2 linked regions of the Macaca mulatta genome follow. The protein of the gene in region 2 purifies or fractionates together with the protein of the main gene of each other region. This does not show direct contact. Links are inferred from orthologs where the notes say so. Each region holds a gene or a part of one and is shown on either strand. Other genes may lie near its edges.

Region 1 (3,520 bases), on a different chromosome or scaffold from region 2:
AGGGCTGAGGTTGGGACCTTAGAAAGACAGGGATCCATTCAGCTTCCTGGCAAAGGAGACATTTTGGAGAGCCTGCCAAGTAGAGGAAGCAGTATTTATGTTACATTGAGGGAGAAGAGTGTTATTAACTTGGGCCAGCTTGTGTAGATGTTTAGGGGTAAAAGAGCCTGGCACATTCTGGGTATTACAAGTAGTTTTGTGGGCCTGAGGCCTAGAGGCCTGTAAATCATGGAGAAGCTTCCAGCGAGCTGTGCACTGGTGGCTCCTGGCTATGAGGCTCGTGGCTATGAGGTGTCAGACTTTGCCCTGAGGGTGTTGGGGAGCCAGCTTGCTTCCCTGTCCTGGTTGCCTCCTCATCTATCCTTCCAGCGGTGGAGGGTAAATGCGAATGGGCAAGAGGAGGCTGGAGAGTAGAGAGAGGCCCAGAGTCCAGTGGAATGAGTGAAGTCTGAATGAGATTCATGGGGATGGAGTATGGAGAAGAAAACCAGAAATGTTACCCCCAGGAGAATTTTTGACTAATTGCTTAAAAACAAGTTTGACTGCTGTCCCTGCCCCCACCCAGCCTGCACACATTTTCTTGCTTCTTTCCTAGTCTAGTATCTATTTTACCAAGTGGCTTCTGCTTCAGCTCAACATATTTTTTTTGAGACGGACGTTCGATCTGTTGCCCAGGCTGGAGTGCAGCGGCATAATCTCCGCTCACTGCAACTTTTGCCTCCCTGGTTCAAGCTATTCTCCTGCCTCAGCCTCCCAAGTAGCTGGGATTACAGGCGCACTCCACCACAACTAGCTAATTTTTTCTTTCTTTCTTTTTTTTTTTTGGCCTTTTTAGTCGAGATGGAGTTTCACCGTCTTGGCCAGGCTGGTCTTGAACTCCTGACCTCAAGTGATCTGCCTCAGCCTCCCAAAGTGCTGGAATTACAGGCATGAGCCACCATGCCACGCCAGTTTTTATGAAAGTTGGAGTCCAGTGGCGGGATCTGCCTCCCAGGCTAGAGTGATCCTCCCACTTCAGCCTCCCAAGTAGCTGTGACAATAAGGCACGCGTCACCATGCGTGGCTAATTTTTGTATCTTTTGTAGAGACAGGGTTTCACCATATTGCCCAGGCTGGTCTTGAACTCTTGAGCGCAAAGGATCTGCCCACCTCGGCCTCCCAAAGTGCCGGGATTACAGGTGTGAGCCACCATGCTTGGCCATCTCAGCCATCTACTTTGCATAAGACATTGGTACCCTTTGCAGACCTGAGTGGTGAGAGGGAGTCCATCCTTGTTGACCTTGAATCCCACTTGCTGTCAAGTGATGCCCTTTGCTGGTGAGATGTGGTGGTACCGGATTCAGATGGAATTCGTGGACTGGGCTCTGCCATGCCCTCGTGCCCTCCAGATTGTTGTACTGGTCCAGTGAGGAATCCTCTGAGAACCTGTTTCCATTTGAGTAAAACTGGGACAGTCATAGTTGCCACTTAATGGGGTTGCTGTGAGGAAGTTACCTCTATAAAGCATTTGATGGGGGTGCGATGGCTCATGCCTGTAGTCCCAGCACTTTGGGAAGCCAAGGCAGGAGGATCACTGGAGCCCAGGAGTTCAAGACCAACCTGGGCAACATAGGAGATTGTATCTACAAAAAAATAAAAAATTAGCCATGCGTCGTGTTGCGTGCCTGTAGTCCCAGCTCCTTGGGAGGTTGAGGTGAGAAGATTGCTTGAGCCTAGGAGGTCGAGCCTGCAGTAAGCTATTATGCCACTGAACTCCAGCCTGAGCAACAGAAGGAGACCCTGTCTAAAAAAAGCACTTGATGGTATCTGTAGTCAAATGTTTGTAGCCAAGTGTGGTGGCACACTCCTGTAATCCCAGCACTTTGGGAGGCCAAGGTGGGCTAATTCCTTAAGCTCAGGAGTTCAAGACCAGCCTGGGCAACATAGCAAGACCCTGTCTCTGCACAAAATCCAGAAGTTAGCTGGGCATGGTGGCATATACCTGTGGTCCCAGCTACTCAGGAGGCTGAGGTGGGAGGATCGCTTGAGTCCGGGAGTTTGAGGCTACAGTGAATCATGATCATGCCACTGCACTCCAGCATGGGTGACAAAGTGAGACCTTGTTGCCAAATAAAAAAAAAAATATATGTGTGATGGAGTCTGTGCTAGGCATGGAGATACTGCAGTAAACAAATGGGACAGGCTTATTGCTCCTCAGGTAAGATAGACAAGTTAACGTACCATGACAGGAGGCGGGAAATAGTCATGAAAGAAAAGGAAGTAGAGTAAGAATGACATGGGAAGACATTTAGACATGGTGGTCAGAGGTGGCAACGTTTCCTCTGAGACTTGGGTGACTAGGAGGTGGCCGCCATGTAAACCTCAGGGGAGGGATGTTCCAGGTAAAGGGAGCAGCCAGTGCAAAGGCCCTGGGGCAGAATTGTTGTGTCAGACCTAGGGGCCAGTGTGGTTGGGGACTCAGGAGCATAGTGGAATGTGGGCAGGAATGAGTTGGGGGAAATCTGCCAGGGCCACGTCATGCAGGCCTGTGTCAGGGTGCTGGTGGCAATGAAAAGAATCACTCATATTTACTGAGCGTTTACTATGTACCGGATGCTGTCCTGAGCACTTTGCATGTATGTGCACATGTTCATTATATAGCAGCTCTCTGTAAGCACATCTTACAGAAGAGTGTACTTGGCTACTTGAGTGGTTCCTGGCCGCTTCTGTGATTGTTAGGTCTTGAGAGATTATGGACCCGAGGCATTCTGGGTAGCCCGTCAATTGGCTGATGGTCTTCTATCTGGGCTGCGCTTCTTCTAACAAGGGGAGCTCAGAGGTCTTTTCTTTCCCCACTGCAGAGCTAAAAAAGTCCCTGTACGCCATCTTCTCCCAGTTTGGCCAGATCCTGGATATCCTGGTATCACGGAGCCTAAAGATGAGGGGCCAGGCCTTTGTCATCTTCAAGGAGGTCAGCAGCGCCACCAACGCCCTGCGCTCCATGCAGGGTTTCCCCTTCTATGACAAGCCCATGGTGAGCATTGTGGGTACGGAGGCTGTGTGGGTGTGTGAAATGTTATAGGAGACTGGGCGGGCCTGGATTAGAGGAGAGGATATTAGGGTTCATTCACCAAGGTGAGACTGGACCAGGCTCCCACTGCACCTTGCCTCCTTTAAAAATTTTTTTGGCGTAGTGCGGTGGCTCATGCCTGTAATCCCAGCACTTTCGGAGGCCGAGGCAGGCAGTTTACCTGAGCTCAGGAGTTTGCGACTAGCCTGGGCAACACTGTGAAACCCCGTCTACTAAAATACAAAAATTAGCTGGGCGTGGCAGCATGCGCCTGTAGTCCCAGCTACTCGGGAGGCTGAGGAAGGAGAATTGCTTGAACCTGGGAGGCAGAGGTTGCAGTGAGCCGAGATCCTGCCACTGCTCTCCAGCCTGGGTGACAGAGTGAGACTGTCTCAAAATACGTATATATATGTATATTTGGCTGGACATGGTGGCTCATGCCTGTAATCCCAGCACTTTGGGAGGCTGAGG
Region 2 (3,520 bases):
ATCAGAACCTCTCTGCCCGTTCCCAGGTCTTACCTCAGATGCCTTCAGGTTAATGTACTTCAGGTAACAGTCATGGAGATCGAGATAACGACCATATCCCTCTTCATCTGTGAACTCCACCAAGTCTGAGGGAATCAGATACATCAATGATTCAGTTTATACACACCACTCTCTTGGACTTACCTTTTCAAATGGACTGCTTGTTCCTAGTTTCCTGAGGCAGCACTTCACCCAAATGTCCTCCCTTTGCTCACAATATAACCTCCAATAAGTTAAGTGAGATCAAAAGTGAGTGTTCTCTTACAAGGTAACAAGGGCTGACTCATTTTAGTATCGTGACCTAAAGTGAACAATCCTTGGCTTTCCAAGCCAGTAAATTTGAGGTAGGAGAGAACAAAATGAACATTGTGCGCCCAAGACCAATTTAGGATGTCACTCTAGCCCAGAAACCAGCAAAGACGAAACCAGCAAGAAATCCTGGCTATAAATATATCTGAGGCCATGGCTGCAAATCTGAGCTGTAATTAACCTGTACTTTTGCTGGTGCTGAATGAAATTTTCACCTCTACTTACTTTGTGCCTCTTCACTCGGATTCTCTCGAGCCTTCAGGAGCTCCTCAAATTCCACTGACATTGGCACACAGATCTGAGGGGAAAAGTAAAAGCTCAGGTGGATTTTTCTTTTTTGTTTTTGAGACGGACTCTGCTCTGTTGCCCAGGCTGGAGTGCACTGGCACAATCTTGGCTCACTGCAACCTCTACTTCCCAGGTTCAAGCGATTCTCCTGCTTTGGCCACCCGAGTAGCTGGGACTACAGGCACGCACCACCATGCTTGGCTAATTCTTATATTTTTAGTGGAGACAGGGTTTTGCCATGTTGCCCAGGCTGGTCTTCAACTCCTAAGCTAAAGTGATCTGCCCAGCTTGGCCTCCCAAAGGGCTGGGATTACAGGCATGAACCACTGTGCCCGACCTTAGGTGGATTTTTCAATGTAAAAGTTGCAAGATCACAGAAATGAAATACACAGAAAGTTGGACTTCTGATGATTTGGCCTTGATTTTTCACTAGGAAGCTACTACTGTTCTCCAATTACCTTGTTTTTCCCCGCTTTTTTGTATTGTTTGAGTAAAACTCACTAAAGTAACACATGCTCACAAAACCTCAAAAGTCCACCTTTATTAATTCTCCTGAGAACAGGTAACCACTGTTAACAGAGCTTTTCCTATGCCAGTGGTTCCCAAACTTTGCTGCATATTAGAATCACCCGGGGAGTTTTTTTTTTTTAATTCTGATGCACCTGATACCAATTAAATCAAAGGAAGGCAGGTATCAGTACATTTTAAAGATCCCCAGGTGGCTCAAATATGCAGAAAGTTTGGAAAACAGTGCTCTATATATTTAAATATATGTATTTGTATTAGTACATTCATGCCTGCATACGTTTTTATTATTTTTTTTAGCATAAAAGACTTGCTTCTGACACTTAGTATATCTTGGGCATCCTTCTAACCAGTTATTTAAGCATTTATTCCTCGTTACCTTTTGACCATGGCTGGAATAAGGTGAACACATCAGAATGGTATTCATTTATTCTCTCTTGGTTAGCAGAAGACCTCACTCTCCATCCTCCAAGGGGGCTATGTGTGTGAGGATCCCTTCGTTTACCCCCACACTATGTACTGCAATAAACAGCCTCTATTTTTTTGCTGTTTTTAATCTCTTCCTTTTTCCCTGTGCTCCTTCAAATAAGTAAGCTGCTTCTTTTTTTTTTTTTTTTTTTTTTTTTGAGACGGAGTCTCGCTCTGTCCCCCAGGCTGGAGTGCAGTGGCCGGATCTCAGCTCACTGCAAGCTCCGCCTCCCGGGTTTACGCCATTCTCCTGCCTCAGCCTCCCGAGTAGCTGGGACTACAGGCACCCGCCACCTCGCCTGGCTAGTTTTTTGTATTTTTTAGTAGAGACGGGGTTTCACCGGGTTAGGCAGGATGGTCTCGATCTCCTGACCTCATGATCCGCCCGTCTCAGCCTCCCAAAGTGCTGGGATTACAGGCTTGAGCCACCGCGCCTGGCCATAAGTATGCTTCTTTATCTTCCCCAATACCCTCCTGTTTCTCCCCTTCTTTTTCCTACCAGATTTTTTTTTTTTTTGACGGAGTCTTGCTCTGTTGCCCAGGCTGGAGTGCAGCAGAGTGATCTCAGCTCACTGCAACCTCCATGTCCTGGGTTCAAGCGATTCTCCTGCCTCAGCCCCACAAGAAGCTGGGATCACAGGCGTGCACCACCAAGCCCAGCTAATTTTTGTGTTTTTAGTAGAGACGGGTTTCACCACGTTGGCCAGGCTGGTCTCAAACTCTTGACTTTGTGATCCACCTGCCTCAGCCTCCCAAAGTGCTGGAATTACAGGTGTGAGCCACTGAACCCGGCTGCTACCAGCCTTTCAAATGCATGTTCCATACTCCATACTTATATTTCCCCATTACCCATCTTTACCTTGTGACCAGATTTCCATTCCTACTACTTTAATGAAACAGCAATCCTGGCAGTTATCAATCAGTAAGTTGACACCATGACTGCCTTTCTGAAACTCTCTTTTGCTTAACTTCTGTAAGGCAACACCACCTGGAGTGGTCATGTGACCTTTCTGATGAAAGCCTTCCCAGGCCCTTTTTCTCTTAACTACCTTATTATAAGTGAGCTCCAGGGTATATGAGGGCTAGGCGCGGTGGCTCACGCCTGTAATCCCAGCACTTTGGGAGGCCGAGGTGGGTGGATTATGAGGTCAGCAGATCGAGACTATCCTGGCTAACATGGTGAAACCCTGTGTCTACTAAAAAATACACAATATTAGCCGGGCGTGGTGGCGGGCACCTGTAGTCCCAGCTACTCAGGAGGCTGAGGCAGGAGAATGGCGTGAACTCGGGAGGTAGAGTTTGCAGAGAGCCGAAATCGTGCCACTGCACTCCAGCCTGGGTGACAGAGTGATTCCATCTCAAAAAAAAAAAAAAAAGACAGAGTTAGGAGCATAATTTATTGGGGGGAGTAATTTCTTTTTTTTTAAATCTTTTTTTTTTTTTTTGGTTGAGACAGAGTCTCCCTGTGTCGCCCAGACTGGAGTGCAGTGTCCGGATCTCAGCTCACTGCAAGCTCCGCCTCCCGGGTTCACGCCATTCTCCTGCCTCAGCCTCCCGAGTAGCTGGGACTACAGGCGTCCGCCACCTCGCCCGGCTAGTTTTTGTATTTTTTAGTAGAGACGGGGTTTCACCGTGTTAGCCAGGATGGTCTCGATCTCCTGACCTTGTGATCCACCCGTCTCGGCCTCCCAAAGTGCTGGGATTACAGGCTTGAGCCACCGCGCCCGGCCTGGGGGGAGTAATTTCTGTGAAAGACAAAAAGGAGGAGAAAGCAGGATTAGGCCAGGATAGCCTAGACCACAATGCAGATTGGACAAAATCTTGACCCACCCAATGGGGAGCCGTGGAGCAAAGATAACTCATCAGAGGAGTCTCACAGTGGACCAAATTG

Evidence for each region. The genes of interacting proteins can lie anywhere in the genome.
Region 1: the proteins of SF3A3 (region 2) and SNRPA fractionate together in Homo sapiens (co-fractionation; 4 studies listed by BioGRID and IntAct, with this or other methods). This does not show direct contact. The link is inferred for Macaca mulatta from reciprocal best matches to the Homo sapiens genes SF3A3 and SNRPA.

The regions. Positions count from the first base shown.
Region 1 is NC_133424.1:51,874,358-51,877,877, forward strand, and holds part of SNRPA (U1 small nuclear ribonucleoprotein A), read left to right. Parts: intron 1-973; exon of another isoform or gene 974-1,092; intron 1,093-1,149; exon of another isoform or gene 1,150-1,640; intron 1,641-1,898; exon of another isoform or gene 1,899-2,770; coding exon of another isoform or gene 2,771-2,840; coding exon 2,841-3,013; intron 3,014-3,520. UniProt on the Homo sapiens protein: Component of the spliceosomal U1 snRNP, which is essential for recognition of the pre-mRNA 5' splice-site and the subsequent assembly of the spliceosome. U1 snRNP is the first snRNP to interact with pre-mRNA.
Region 2 is NC_133406.1:202,808,871-202,812,390, reverse strand, and holds part of SF3A3 (splicing factor 3A subunit 3), read right to left. Parts: intron 647-3,520; coding exon 574-646; intron 126-573; coding exon 34-125; intron 1-33. UniProt on the Homo sapiens protein: Component of the 17S U2 SnRNP complex of the spliceosome, a large ribonucleoprotein complex that removes introns from transcribed pre-mRNAs.